Schizosaccharomyces pombe: one gene and its partners. The gene in region 2 interacts genetically with the main gene of each other region. Each region holds a gene or a part of one and is shown on either strand. Other genes may lie near its edges.

The links.
Region 1: of nrd1 (region 2) and sam1, extra expression of one rescues a mutant of the other (dosage rescue), as found in Schizosaccharomyces pombe (one study listed by BioGRID).
Region 3: of nrd1 (region 2) and pas1, changing one enhances a phenotype caused by changing the other (phenotypic enhancement), as found in Schizosaccharomyces pombe (one study listed by BioGRID).

Annotation. Positions count from the first base shown.
Region 1 is NC_003423.3:4,161,377-4,165,805, reverse strand, and holds sam1 (S-adenosylmethionine synthetase), read left to right. Parts: upstream 1-1,947; 5' UTR 1,948-2,129; coding exon 2,130-3,278; 3' UTR 3,279-3,737; downstream 3,738-4,429. Other genes in the region: Fe-sulfur ATPase Rli1, read right to left, coding at 1-653, 1,091-1,147. UniProt on the Schizosaccharomyces pombe protein: Catalyzes the formation of S-adenosylmethionine from methionine and ATP. The reaction comprises two steps that are both catalyzed by the same enzyme: formation of S-adenosylmethionine (AdoMet) and triphosphate, and subsequent hydrolysis of the triphosphate.
Region 2 is NC_003424.3:553,373-559,703, reverse strand, and holds nrd1 (RNA-binding protein Nrd1), read right to left. Parts: upstream 4,419-6,331; 5' UTR 3,074-4,418; coding exon 1,484-3,073; 3' UTR 653-1,483; downstream 1-652. Other genes in the region: tryptophan-tRNA ligase Wrs1, read left to right, coding at 1-387.
Region 3 is NC_003424.3:1,359,166-1,364,720, reverse strand, and holds pas1 (cyclin Pas1), read right to left. Parts: upstream 3,589-5,555; 5' UTR 2,151-3,588; coding exon 915-2,150; 3' UTR 547-914; downstream 1-546.

The DNA of each region.
Region 1 (4,429 bases), on a different chromosome or scaffold from region 2:
TTTTGAGTGGCTACGGCAGCAATAGCAAATCGTTGAAGCTCACCACCAGAAAGATGGCCAACCTCACGATTTAAAAGATTTTGAAGATCGGTGTGATCCATAACTTCTTCAAAATTATTGTTGTTTGCACGAGCTTTAATTAAACCAGATACAGTTTTGTCACCAGTTTTAATCGCCCGTGGGATATGATCAACGTATTGAGGTTTGATAAGAGCCTTAATGTTATCTTCAACAACTTTGGTGAAAAAGTTTTGAAGTTCACTACCACGGAAGTATTTGACAACTTCAGCCCAGTCAGGAGGATTATCATAACGACCTAAATTAGGCTTCATTTTTCCGGATAGGATCTTTAACGCAGTAGACTTTCCAATACCGTTAGTACCAACTAAGCCCAAAACTTGACCAGGACGAGGAGTAGGCAAACGATGAAGCTTGAAAGAATTAGCAGAGTAACGATGGGTTACTTCACTTTCCAAGTTAGTGGGCAAATTAATAATGTTGATAGCTCCGAATGGACATTTTTTGACACAGATACCACAACCAATACATAATGTTTCACTAATAAATGCAATGCGATCGGTAGGATTAACTTCAATACACAATTTACCGGTGCGCACGACAGGGCAAGACCGGCGGCATTCTTGCCGACATTTCTAAAATATTGGTGAGCAAACTAATAAAAACCAAACATTCTAAAACCAGAAGCATTAAAAGCAAAGGAAAGTTTCGTAAGCAAGCAATAAAACGTATTTTAACGTGACACAGACCACTTTGAAAGTTTATTTAAATTTTCGGTCCTTTACCTTACAAGAACCTTTAGATTCGTTTAACCAACATATGGTGACAGCCAAGCCAAGCAAAAATTTACTACTAGTCCGAAAGTGCTTGGCAGATCGTAACAGGATCAAAAAATCTGAACAGAGGTACAATCAGGGCAGTTAAAATATGTTTTAATACTTGAACAAACAAAATTTGACTCAACTCTTTTCGTGGAAAACTTTGTGCACACACAAAAAAGCTCCAGTCATCCACAACGAGTAGACTATAACCTTCTACTAATAAAGCTCCTTTAATTTTTTTATTTTCTTACCTTTGGTCTACACTTATCCTCACTAACAATGGCGATTCTAGTAAGACTTTCGCTCATGGTGTTGAGTAGGGTGCAGTTGGCAAAGGACAACTTAAGGTGCGCCCAATTTTTTGCTTGTACTACCAGTCAACCTACTACAGTTTATAAAAATGCTACATTACATTTCGAATAAAATAAATAAAAAAGATAAATTCAAGTTTCTGAGACTGTAGAAAGATGTATTTTCTTAAATCGTCATTACGAAAATTTTTTATTGCCAATACGGACCTAGCGCTAAGTCATTGCCCATTTAATTGCAGACCAAATAATTGGTCAAAGATATGAAAGTTTGGAAGAGCCAGTTTTTGCAATTAAAAAACATAAGAATGAAGAAAAGAAAAACATCCTTCAATCTGCATAAATACTTATAAGATGCACATTGCATTAGCACACTCAATGCCCAAGTCCAGCCAATATCTAAGGGGACAGCTGGGTTTATTATATATTCAAGCTTCTTTAAATATCTACTAAATTTGCAGTATATAGTTCATCAATCGTAAACATAATTGTAAAAATAAATTGACAGTCAAAGACCCTTCTACTTTTACTTCAAATTGAAAATACAGCGATTTATCAAAATACGAAATACACTTTTTCGTGCTTTCCTTATTTTTTTAATTCATTACAGTCTAGCACTATAAAAAATTTAACATACTATTACCCCTGCTTTTAAATAACAATTGCGCAGAACAATTTGTCTCTACCAGATATCACTATTCTAAAATTGCTCAAGAAATTGAAAAAATGGCGCTACCATCCTGATAAGCAGTCACAACTATAATCAGCATATAAGGCTAAAGAATAACCTTACTTGCTTTACGAAACCTTGAGAGCTTCTTTTGACGAAATTCGCAAGCATATCTACATTTATTAGATTCATTGATAAAGAAGGGTTTTCATTGTTTCCTTATATTTGACGAAACTAATCGCTTGTCTTATTGTTCAATCTTTTCTAGTTTTTTGATTCCATATTTCCTTTACAAGTATCTTGGATTCCCCAATGGCTCAAACTTTTTTGTTTACTTCTGAATCTGTCGGTGAAGGTCATCCTGACAAAATTTGCGACCAAATATCTGACGCTATTTTGGATGCTTGTTTGAAGGATGACCCCTTTTCCAAGGTAGCATGTGAGACCGCTTCCAAAACCGGTATGGTAATGGTTTTTGGTGAAATTACTACTCGCTCACAAATTGACTACCAAAAGGTTATTCGTAATACCATTAAGAGCATCGGTTATGATGACTCTGAGAAGGGTTTCGATTACAAGACTTGCAACGTCCTCGTCGCCATCGAGCAACAATCTCCTGATATCGCTCAAGGTCTTCACTATGAGAAGGCTTTGGAAGAGCTCGGTGCTGGTGACCAGGGTATTATGTTTGGCTATGCAACTGATGAGACCCCCGAGAAGTTACCTTTGACCATTCTCCTTGCTCACAAACTCAATGCTGCCATGTCTGTCGCTCGTCGTGATGGATCTCTTCCATGGTTGCGTCCTGATACCAAGACTCAAGTCACTATTGAATATGAAGAGGAAAACGGTGCTGTCATCCCCCGTCGTGTAGATACCATCGTCGTCTCTGCTCAACACGCTGATAGCATCTCTACTGAAGACTTGCGTTCTGAAATTTTGGAGAAGATCATTAAGCCTACTGTCCCTGCTCATTTGTTAGATGAGAAGACTGTTTACCACATCCAACCTTCTGGTCGTTTCGTTGTTGGTGGTCCTCAAGGTGATGCTGGTCTCACTGGTCGTAAGATTATTGTTGATACCTATGGTGGCTGGGGTGCTCACGGTGGTGGTGCCTTCTCTGGTAAAGACTACTCCAAGGTCGATCGTTCTGCCGCCTATGCTGCTCGTTGGATTGCCAAATCTTTGGTTGCTGCTGGTTTGGCTCGCCGCTGCCTTGTCCAACTCTCCTATGCTATTGGTGTTGCTGAGCCCCTTTCTATTTTTGTCAATACTTACGGCACTTCTTCCAAGACATCTGCTGAGCTTGTTGAAATTATCCGCAAGAACTTTGACCTTCGTCCTGGTGTTTTGGTCAAAAGCCTTAAGCTTCAAACTCCTTTCTATCTTTCCACCGCTTCTTACGGTCACTTCACTGATCAATCCAAGCCTTGGGAACAACCTAAGGAGCTTAAGTTTTAGACAGATAGCTTAGTGCTATCATTAGCTTTTCTCGTTTGTTACGTTAAATACGATTAGAACATGTAACGAATTCTCAGTTGATGGCTTTATGGATACATGGTTTTCTTTAAAGATGAAAAGATTTTAGAGTTGTCTTTATTTATTCTATGTTTGCTTCTTTGTTCTTCAATTGTGAAAGATATATGGTTTTATATGTTAAGTCCTGGTTCAACGGATATGTATTTTTTTTTGGACTGGGTAGGCACAAATTCAACCTTTGTGTTTATGACTGCATCTCGAAGCGGAAAATACACTAAGCCAAAAATTTTTTTGCATACCGACATGTTAATGTTTCTTTTACCGATAGGCTTAGTGTTATTTGATGCTTTTCACGATAGTTATTATTTGCTGACTTTCAACTAGTTGGCCACTTTCGTTTAAATTGAGTTAATTATATGTTAATGGATTTGGTTCAAGACATAGTGTTTTAATCGTATAAGAACGAGTACTCATCTTCACTGTAGCTAATTTAGCTCGCTCACTTGTAACAAGGTGCATGCACACACAATACAAGCGTTTTGATTTTATTGTAATTTGTAATGAATTGAAAATGTCAAACTTAAAAAGGTAGACAATCATTCAGCTTTCAAGATGATCTGTGATAGTAAATGTCATTGGATTAAAACACATTGCTTGCTTACATTATTGTATTTATGGAATAAGCGATGGATTCTCAGCGATCCTAAAAGTACTTAGAATTATATTGGTCTTTTTTTTTGTAGTATAAATATTCAAAAATTCTTCACTAGATGTCTACGGCCATACCTAGGCGAAAACACCAGTTCCCGTCCGATCACTGCAGTTAAGCGTCTGAGGGCCTCGTTAGTACTATGGTTGGAGACAACATGGGAATCCGGGGTTTTGTAGGTTCCTTCTTTATTATTGCTGTTTGGTTTTTACCTTCTCTTTTGGAGCATATTTTGAGTACTGAATTGTGAATCTCAAATTCTATAGATGTTGCTACTCGTTGATTAAGCAATGCTAGAGCAGACTTTGAACTCTCAAATCAAATAATTAAGAAGTTTATGAAAGAAGGCTCTTGTCTTTGTCATGGGTATCGTCAAGCAAAATTCGATGTCTACATCAGATATTGTATAGGAAAATTATCAGAT
Region 2 (6,331 bases):
GCTCTCCAAGGACCACAATCAAAAATGAGTGCCAGTAAAGATTCTTCTGCGATTTTCATGACTGATACTCCAAACAAAATTAAAAATAAGATCAACAGGCATGCTTTCTCTGGAGGTGGCGCTACAATCGAAATCCACCGTGAAAAAGGAGGTAACCCAGACGTTGATGTTGCATATCAATATCTTTCTTTTTTCCTAGATGACGACGAGAAGTTGAAACAATTGTACAATACCTATAAGGCTGGTACTCTTTCAACCGGAGAAATGAAAGGAGAGTGTATTAAGCTTTTACAGCAGTTCGTTTCTGACTTTCAAGCAGCACGTTCGAAAGTTGATGAGGCGACCCTTGATATGTTTATGGATGGATCTCGTAAGTTAGAGTGGTAGATGCGTTGTCTTTCTTTCATTTTACAAATAGTGTAAATTAGATACTTGTTTAAGTTGCATTATACAATGAAACTGAATAAACTGTTTTTAGATTGTGCTACAATGTTCAGCTGTTCTAATAAATGAGGAAAACATTTACAGCACCAAACGCACAATATAAATAGAGACTCAAATACTGATGCCTTTTCAAAACTCATTACTACGGTAGAGTTTTGTTATGTTTGCATTCATTAATTACCGAACTTTGTACAATCTCTCAACGACGGTGTAGGATGAGCAAAAGAAGAGATGTATATTTACCTAGACCAAAAATATATACATAAGATCATTAGAACAATTTCGGTTTGGAACTAGTAGACAATAATGGGTTGAAAAACGCATTTAGAACGCGACAAATAAACCATAATTAACAAACTAGCATTTAAATATGACCAGACAATCAAATTAAAGCTATTGTTAAGTATTAATCAACACCGTTGAAGTCTTCAGCAATCACTTTTGATAAAGAAATAACGTTGAAAATCGAAACATAAATATATAAGAATATGTAGAATGAAAAAAAAAATAAAAATAGAAGTCAGAAGTACATTTTAAAACTGTAATTGAAAATGTGGAAAGATTCGTCAATATTGTTTGCAAAAACGAATCAAAAACGAAGGACATCGAGCTTTTGATAGAAATACAAACTCGATAACCTCTAACATAGTAGAAAAAATGCCAAATAAAACAAAAAAAAACTGCTACTTCAACAATGAAGGTTTTATAATGCGTAAAAATGAAACAAAGTAAGAAGAAAAGAGTATGGGCCACGTTGAGTAAGGGGCATAAACGAGAGAAAGTAAAACGAAGGAATGTTGAAACAATAGCAAGTAAGGTCATTTAAACAAAAGAATACTTTTTCTTTTGTAATGCGAATGCAAATGGTTACCCTTAATAATCTAATGTAAAAAAGAAAGTGATTTTGTAAAATAAGCAATAAAAAAGTTCGTCAATAAAAGGTGTTTTATGAGCACAAATTGATATGAACTCAAAGCGCTGGAAAACCTTTATCCATAAAAATATCGAACACGTTTAAGAGCAAAACACTCTACAATATTTAAATATTGGAGTTTGTTGGCATAAACCCGGATATTCCTTGCTGAGGAACAACGAGATCAACAGGCATGCTCATATCAGAAGAGACAGAAAGAACGTCTGACTTGGAATTAGTTCTAGGTGGATTACCACACCTATCTTTACCATAACTAATTCGATAGTTTTCATATCCCTTCTTCTGCTTGATTCGATCAATCGCATTAATCGCACTTGCCAACGACGTAAAGTTAACAAAAGCGCAATTCTTTTCGCGGAAAAAGTTGACGTACTCAATTTCGCCAAATTCCTCAAAATCCTCTTTTAAGCGTTCAATAGTCAAAGAATCATCAGCATTGCCAATATAAATGTTACGACTAGCACCACCAGCAACGGCTAAAGCGATATTTGAGGGAAGAGGGCCGCTATGCTTACCCCAACCTATCTTTAAACGACGGTTGCGAATGACCAAACCATGAATGTTGGACATTTCAAAGAATCGAAAAGCAGAAACAGGGTCAACAAAAGTTACGAAACAAATGTGTTTTTCCTGAAGATAACGAATATTGTGTAACAATCCTCCACGAACAGCGTTACATATCTCTTCAATAGTAGTATCAGCATGGATATTACCAATGTAAACAGTGCGATTCCCAGTCATGATAAGATCCGGTTTTTGGAGAACCGGGCTTGGGGGAGGATACCCCATTACGGGATAACCGCCAACAACGCCGACTTGGCCTTTAGAAAAGTAAGCAGGTTGCTTCAAACCCACAGCGCATCTATCCCGTCCGTAGTAAATGCGCCGTTTGGACCATTTGGGGTTTAATGGTAGCTCTTGGACAGCTTTGATTGCAGCTGCAATGTTCAAAAAATGAACAAAAGCTATATTTCGTTCAGTTACGATTTTGATTTGATCAATAGGTCCAAATGGTTCTAAATCTTCACGAATTTCATCTTCAGTAATACCATTCGGCAAGTTGCCGAGGAATACATTCCTACAAGCGCCAGATTGCTGGACTGCAAGTAGTACAGATGAATTCGAGGCTGAGTTCTTGCCCCAACCAACTTTTACTTCAGTACCCCGAATTGTCAATCTCTTCAAGGCAGCATCTTGGAAAAAGGCAGTAGCGTGGCTCGGATCCAAAAAGGAAATAAAGGCACAATTTTTCTCAGGTAGAATCCATGCAGATTCAATTGGTCCCGTACGCACGCAAGAAAGAATCTCATCAATAGGGGTATTGGGAGGAAGGTTACCAACATACACAGTTTTAACAGGTTGTGTAGTGTTATTCGGAAGTGGAAAGTAACCCGGGGCAAAGTTAGCAACATTAGGACTGGTAACACGTGAAACATTATAGCCAGTCGTGGGATGAGCGGGAGCCGCTGCCATTTGGGTAGTGCTAAAGGGCAAGCCATGCATGGAAGTATAGCTCGTTGGGCTTTGAACAAAAGGACTCCCCATAAGAAGCCCGGTAGGGAGTAGAGCATGCGGTGTGTTTGGTGTAGCGAGACCTTCAGCACTTACAGTATGAGGGATAGTAAGTGGTGGTAAATGTGGAGTTCTTCCAGGGACAGAAAGACGGGACTGACTAGAGGGACTGCTAGAAGACATAATGACCGAAATCAATAACTGTTAAAGAAAGAATTATACTAAGAGCACAGCTGCTTGATTGACAAAGGAAGAAATGTAAAATAAAGAAATCAACGAGAGTGACGTTTGGTAACAAATAATAAAGGGGTATATCTTACAATTTATATCACTTTGAAATATATCGAAAACCAAAATCGGACCAATAAAGCTCACGAACTTAGGAGGCAACTTATGATGCGTTTAACGATAAAAATCCAAGCGGGTAATAAATGAATAGTTAAACAATATCGCTTAAAGCTAACAACAAGTCTGTTTAAAAAACTCAATTAGACGAGAAAGACAATAATTAATAGCAACGGAAAATCTTAGCCAAAAGAAAACTGTCAACGTCCAACGTATTTTTTAATTCTAAAAATAAGAAAACTCGTAATTCCCAAACTGAATAAGGAAACTTAGACTGAGAGGCACGTAGGCAAAGCGAATAAATGGAAGGAAAAAATGCGAATGAAACAAGCAGATCACAACAACCTCAACAAAATCTTGAATGATGTGGAAAGGAATATGAGCCTAACAATGGTAAAAATTTTTTTTTTTTTAATTTTTTAAAAAATTAAGCTTACTAAGTAAAGATACCGAACAAGAGTATTAGACTTACTCCAAGAAATTGATGGAGAATAAAACAAAGTGAAATGAACAAGAGTATGACCAAAAAAGCAAAGTATACAATTCAAAGTAGTACGAAAGAATAATCAATCAAAGAATTCTAAAGACGCGTAGAAGTGTATTTTATCTTATAAAAGAAGAGGAGAAAAGTCAACAGTATGGTCGACAGTGAAAGAAGGAGTTTTAGAGAAGAAAAAAATGAAAAGGGAAAGTTAAATTTCCAAGATAATAATGATTATGAGGAGTACAATGGAAGTAAAAAAAATAAAAAAAAAGAATATAGAAAAACTGGAATAAATATATTCGGAAGGCTTGGTAAAAATGCAGGGAAGAGAAAGTAGATTGAAGTCAATGCGTTCTAACGACCCAAAATATAGTATCACAGAGGAGTAAGAAGAGAAAAGAATGTGGAAATGAAAAAAGAAAATGAAAAAAGGCGATGATATTTATTTCACAGGTAGATTTAAAAGGTTGCTTAAAAAGCAAATAAAGGAGAAACAGAAAAAAAATAAGAGAAACAAGTACCAGTATTAGCGAATAATCAATAAGTATACCGCGAAACAAAAAAAATCAAAGCTTCAAAGTAATACACTCATATAAATGCAAATGGTAGAGAAAGAAATATGTTTTTGAGAAAAAAGAAATGAAAAGAGAAAGAATATTAGATATAGCCAGCGGCTATTCGTGTGGTTGAGTATTTGGTAGTGAGCACGTTAACGGCTTTTCGTTACTGCACTAATATTACTGCGTGCTTATAGAGAGAAACAAGCTACATGCCATTAACGATTATCCAGCGTACACCAACATGTGAATATGCCGCCCAAGGTAACATTAATTCTGGATGTTCCTTCAACGACAGAGCGCGAGTGCACAATCGAATGTAAACACTTGACAACGAGCATGGCAACGAAAACAAACAAAAAAGAATGCACTTGTATGGATTGCGGCAATGAGTTAAATAGTAATAGTGGTAAAATAAAGTAAATATATGCCAGTATAGACATATATTAGAATGGCCCACTAACAAGCACGCGCAAACCAAGTTTTCACACACTGTTTTAGAATTTTTCCATCAACGCCGCGTTGTAAATAAAAGTAAATAAATAAGCAGCCGAAGTGGCTCCCCGAGAGTTTCACACAATTTCGCCCACGTACGTATGTGATTGTGTGCTAAGCAGCGTGGGACTCAAGCAAATAGTTAGACTAACTTGATACAAATGCAGACATGTAATCATCTTCCACTTTGTATAAACACAACGAAAATTTTTATGGGGGTAAAGCTTCTGTCGAAATCTCGCCTCGCTATTTCAGATGATTAGTCGATATCAAAGGAATAATTCATAGAAAAAAGCATGTAGTGCCAAGTGACAAGTGATATCTAACGATAAGCCGCTCATAAAAAAATGTAAACAAGAATAATCAAGAATGTTGGCCGAGCAGAATAAATTCCAAAAAAAAAAATAAATCTTCTGCATGAAAATTTAAATTATCTCGTGCAACAATAAATAATGAAAATCACACAAAAATGATAACTTTGACCGTATGTCTTCTTCCCTGAACGCTTTGCTAAGATGTGACTTAAATCCTAAGCTAACACATTGTTCAAAAGTCTCCGCCTTGCACGGTAGAGGAATATTTTCCGCGTGAAATTTAGGGGGCGTAGACAAGCTCAGTAACTGTCAATTTTCACTTTGGATTTTTCTTTCTTTTTCATTCTATTCAGCTTAGTAATTCATTGACTATCTAATTTGTATTTATCAAAATATTCCGCTGTTGCTTAATCTCTATACACAATTTCGCTGTGAGTCGCTTTATGGTGGCCGCCAAGAAGGGTGAGCGAAAGCGCTCTCTAATTATTACACTGACTGATCAGATAGCTAAATAGTCTCCTGCAAAATTGAGTCTTCTGCTAACTTCAATGCCGCTGTAGCGTAGAAAAGTAGACTCGGTAGCTATTGACCTAAACATATCGACTTTTCTTCAACTCTGCAAACTAACGATTGTCAAGGCGTAAAGGTTGCTACGGAGATTTACATATTTACCGGCCAAGGCGTTTAGTCATTTGATTCACCGTGATCATCGGCTTTCGTTTTTTTTTTTAGAAACTCGGGTTAGCAGAGAAACAAATGCCATAAAGTAGAAAAAAGGCATATGCTCGTTCATAACACTCTACTTAAATTGTTTGTAAATTTTGTCAGTTTACGTAAAAATTTTGGTTGTATACTTAATGTTTAGCACTAATTGTCCTTATTCATAAAAAAAAGCAATACAATTTGTTTTATTAATTAATATTAAAGTAATTAGAACACGTAAAGAAGCAGATATTAGGTTTCAAACTACATTGCGATATCTTCAACGAACTACTAATGACTTGGTTTCTTCTGTAATCTTTTCCACTTAACTGTATTCTATTTTACTAATATAGTCTTATTGTAATGTATTCGTGAATCCTCCATTACCCATTTCTTACACTAGAAAAGAAAAGAAAAACTAGAGACCTATACACGTTTCTAAATAACAAAAGCGTATCTCATAAAGATAACAAGAACACTTGAGCCGCTATAAAAGATTGATATTTTTTGTTGGATTAAACAATCCTAAAGCCCAATTTTCTGC
Region 3 (5,555 bases), 810 kb from region 2:
ATTTGAGTGCATTTAATTACAACAAAATATATATGTGAAATTGATTTTAACATTTGTAAAATTTTTAGTATATAATTTGTTGTTTTGTCTTAATCCTTCCTACTTGCAACTGTACTTTAGGGAAATATCAGTTAATTTTCGTGATGTTCAAGAAGATACGTATAATTATTAGTTTTTACAAAAATCGCTTACAATTAGTGTATTCAACATTGTTTTAAAGACCGTAATCAAAATTGGCTCTACTAGTAGTACGGTGTAGCAATTACTGCTTTTGTAAATGATCAAGATATTTTAGTTCAATGTTTCACAGTTTAATCGTTGAAAAAATATTACTTAGACAACTCTGTTAAAAAATGATTGAAAGGACTCTTAGAGCCTTCAAATAGGATTGGAGCTCAGTAGTAGATTTCAAATGGCTACATTCACCTGCCTAAAATATATAACTATCTTAATGAGCACATACATAATCTCTAAATAGTTTGACTATTTGACAAGTTTATGGCCATAAGAAATCAACAAAATTATCTTTTTTGAATACCTTGCTCTACTGATATCAATTTACAAGATGCATAAGTAAATATAGTTGCCAATCGTTAATTCATTCATACCATATATACATCGTTTTGCTATTAGAATGTTAAAAAAAGATTCATAGAAACGACAACAATATTTGATTTTTAATCAAAACATTGACAAGTCTAGATATGAAAAGAAGGTAGTAATATAAACCTAATCAAGTTTCCCATATCATGATTATCTTCCACACAATTTGAATAGATAAATCAATAGAAAGAAAACATTATCGGTATTTATTGACATCCGCTGTTAAAATGGCATCAGTATTATGAAATTATTCATTAAATATTATAGTTTTTGAAAGAAGCGGCGAAGACAGCGCAGATTGGGCTTGATAATTAAAAGTAACTGCGACGCTTAGCACTGTGTTCCGTTAAACATGAGTAGTCTTCTTCTAAATGCCTTTTTTGAGAACAAGGTTGAGGGAGGGACGCGACATATGCAGACGCTGTACCCAGATCACAACTCACAGATACGGCAAGTGGTAAGACGCTTGCAAAAGGCATATTAAATGTAACTGGACCAGTAGCATTGTTCAATTTTTGAGCATTATAGCAGTAAGCAACACCTCCATTGGACTTAGAAGTCATTGGCCGATATACTCCAACCTTTGGTGAAGAAGGAGTTGGTGGTAGACTAACTGGCTTAGAAAGGCTTGACAACCGACCCGGTAATACTTGAGGATTTACATAAACTTGCGGTTCCATAAGCGGTATTTGTTCGGGTGGCGAAGCAGTAGTCAAAGTGCGGGACTGATTTGAAGCCTGAATATGTGCTTTACAGACATTCATAGGAGCCAGTTGTTTGGCAATGGGTAAAACAGATGGAGTGGATGGAGGGGTACTGCCAACAGATACTGGAGTAGAAGGTGCCATCGTAAGAATAGGTGATGAGTCTTGAGTTGTTTGAGGAGAAGAGGAGGGCTTCCTCGTAGCCTGATTCTTCAAAGCAGCATTAGCATTCATTCTGCGATGTGCTATCTTCGTTAAACAGGCAATGGAAAAAAGATCATCTAGAGAAGATTGAACATTAGAAAACAAAGAGACCCAATATTGTGCGACGCTGCCAAATGAGGCAACATTAGGATCGGTGGAATCATAACGTGCAGTCGCGTGAGCACAACATTCACCAACTAAAAGAGACCATCTAGCAAAAATATGTTTAGGAACGACAAGACGATAATCGATGCATTGGTAAAACATATATTCCAAAACAAGTAATTTGTCAACTGGAAGTCCTGATAGGCGAGACCAAGCACGATTGCTAAAACTACGATCCTGTAAAAATTTTGTAGCGGCCATCAAGCAGACTAAGAAAAGACGACGCCCACATAACAGAGGAATGTAGTTAGTAGGCTTAGAAGAAGCAGCATCACGAAAACGGATGAAGTAATATAAAGCAAGAAGCAACGTAGTGTAATCGACACGACTTCTGCGAATCGTTTCATACAAAAACTGAGTAAGTGAAAGGGAGTGCGAATGTGATTGTTGATTTGTACTTTTAGCCAAGGGGTAGATAGAAAGAATCACGGTACTAAAGGACTCGAGCAAAGCTCGCATGTTAACTTTCGACATCGTGTAGAGAAATATCTAAGATGAAATTTTAAGCAGCTGTTGGAGAAAAATGAAAACTTTTAGCAAGCTTTTTCTCAAAGAGAAGAAAATACGAGTTTATGAAAGGGAAAAAAGCTAACAATGAAAGCTTTCGACGAAAATTTAGTAGAAAAGTAAAAATGGATGACAAAAATTGGAAGACGAACACAATGAGGAGAACGAGTAGATTGACTAAACAGTGCTCCTAACTGGAAAAAAACAGAAATCTCTAAAGGTATGCCATGTTGAAGACACGTACCCAAAATCAGTTAATATTATTATACAAGAAAAAGAAGCTTAGTAAGCCTAAAAAGTTGCAAAAATGAAGAGATAGATGTGTTGGCGAAAATAGTCATCCAAAGAAAGAGTGTAAGAAATAATAATGATTGCTTGAAATCGAATCTTCAAGCGCACAAAGTCGAATTTGAAGAAAGAAAATAAAGCAAAACCGAGATTTTGGGGACCAGGCAGATAAAAGGAAAACTTGAACTGTGTAAAAACCCAAAATAAGCTAGAAAGGAGAGATTGAAAAAATGAGAGGGAAACTACTTAACCAATCTCCTTAACGACGATAAAAGATGCAATCTCTAGAAGAATTTGTTGGCAGAAGAGAAAAACGAATGAAGCAAGGGATGGGATTCAACGATTGAAATATAAGCTAAGATGAATGCGGAAAATAAGCAAAGAAAACAGACCGACAGATAGATAAATAAATAATAAATAAATGTTTGAAATTACACGAAACCGTATGCGAAACCCAAAGTTAATCGACGAAACCAGCGACGGAGTTAGAAAACGTTAAAGCTACAGGGCGACAGCAGACGAATGAAACAAAGGAAAAGTAGATAAGCCTTTTCCCGAGAATTCAAAGAGGCGTGATATTGCAGTCAGCAGAGTAGTTGGAACAATGAAAAAAAGAATAGAAGAAAGAGAACACAAAGCACCTAAACCCAGACAAGCAAATAGAATAAAATAAAATAAAAAGAAAATGAAAAGTTATAATATATCGTGACAAAGAATTAAAGAAGAAGAAAAGAACCCTTCAGGTAGTAAAGGTCTAAGGTGAGAAAGATCCGTAGCGAATCAAATAGATTAGATTTATAATACAGCAGCACCGAATGGTAGGTTACGAGATTCTTCACAAAATGTTTAAAGGAAGGAAGAAAGAAACCAGCAGACTAATTATGTGTCAAGAGGAAGTAGGATTCGATGAACGATGAAAAAAAAAAGTAAAGAAGATGTTAATGGATGAATGATGATTCCCAAACAAAACAAGAAAAACACAATCCAAAACGAGGAAAATTGAGAATAGCACAAACACCAAACCAATTCTATCTAGGCTGAAGAAAGGAAGACGAATGTAACAAAAAAGAAAGGATGAACGTTATGTTTTGTATGGTTGCTTAGCAGAGGGACGACCGGCTCTTCTTAGGAGAGATGACTGATGTTATATATGCAAAGAATGGAAAAAAAAGGTGATTGTGGCAGATCTATGATTATATGAGATAAACATCAGTCGCGGCTTGTCAACCACATTTGTTACCGAGAGTGGCAGGTAACACTATCTGCAACAACGAGATCCTTTGCACATCAAACGTTAGTCCACCGTGATTTCACACCACTGCGTAAAGCAAACATCCATAATTTCAATGGGGTAAAACGCGTCGGTAAAGTTGGCGTCTTGGACTGCCGATTTTGTGAATGATAAGACGTGGAAGTTAAGTCAAGCCGGGACGTTGAAAGGTTTGGAAAGCTGCATCCAGAAAGGCCTCAACAATGGAAAAATTGGATCAGAGCAAGGTTTAGCAGTTGAAAATTGGGAGGGGGCGGAAGATTGGGATGGATAAATTCTGTAATGTCTAGGTATAGCGAAGGGGAAGGCAATGCGGAAAAGGATTTGAGGAAGGAGGCTCATAGGGATAGATGAATGATGTTTGGGGGGGGATATGAAGGACATGTGGTAGTTGGATCAATTTGCTTCCAATCTATTCTAGAGGTTTTCTTGCTTTGTTCCAAAAATATGAAAGTGGTGTCCATGATTCATGGCTCCGATAGATTCTGATTCCTCATAAGAAATTTTTTTTTCTTTGCGTTTCTTCGCTATGTTACCCAAGTTTTGGGCTGCTTTAAGCGACATTGGATTGGCTCAGCTCAGATGCCAAGCAAGTAATAGTAAGAGAGAGAGACATTCAAGGCGGATTCCACTATCCATCAGAGAAGGTGGGATAATGGGGTGGTATGAAGATGAAATGATTTCTTTAAGCGGAGTGGATGGATATTTTGAAAGAATTGCTAATTGTTTTACTTTGTGATGTGTAAAATTGCAATTTCTGTGATGGCATCGCTAACTCCATCGATATCGCTGATTCCATCAGCACTCGAAATGGCGAGCAAGCTTGCGCAACTTGCGAAGGCAAAGATGTAGGATGAAAGTAGCGATATTATTGATGAATACAGTTGTTGGGCAGGAAATATGATGGGCGATGCGATGAAAAGACGCGAATGGTTAAGAATTTGAAGAGTGAAAAAATAAAAGTAAAATAAAATTAATACATTAAATCAAAAGCAAAAAATAAAATTTATAAAATAAATCAAAAGTAAAAGTATCATTTTATAAATTAGTAATGAAACAAAACTTTGAATATGGAAAATCTCTCCATTAGTTTATTGAATAAACAAATATTTCGAATTTTTATTATTGTACTTTAAAATTTTTAAATTATTTTACCTTATAATTAATTTAATTTTTATAATTTACTTTTTTGCCCTTTAAATTTTTCTGTTTATTATTTATTATCATTCATGAATTTAGTATAATCTTTATTTTATTGCTATTATAATTTCATTAAATATATTTTGATTTCTTTTTTTCTTATTACGATTGAACACTTTTCCTCTTCTTATGGTTTATTTTGTTTTCTTTGAGTTTCCTCAACTACTTTCACCGTTGCTTTCTTTACTTTTTTTTTTCTTTCTTTAATTTATGATTATTAATTTATTATTTATTTTTTACCATTTATGTATCATATCCAAATTTTTTTTTTTTTTTATTTCTAATTTCCTATTATCCTTACTACATCCAAGCCATCCTCACTTCCCCTCGCCTCTCTTCTCCAACCGTAGCATAAACAATCCTTTCTTTCACAAAACTTTTTCACCCCCCTCACCTCTTTCTCTTTGTCCCAGCATTGCTTACCCTATCCTGCCTACCATTAAATCCCACATCCCACATCCCAGCTGTTATTGTACTTCCCAATTCTTTCTGTATTTCTGTACTGCGCTGGTTCAACGAAAACGCAAACATAAAATTTCCTTTCACCCACTCGTCCCTTGTTATCGTTGTTTTTTATTTTATCATTTTTATTTACTCTTATTTTGATTATTTTT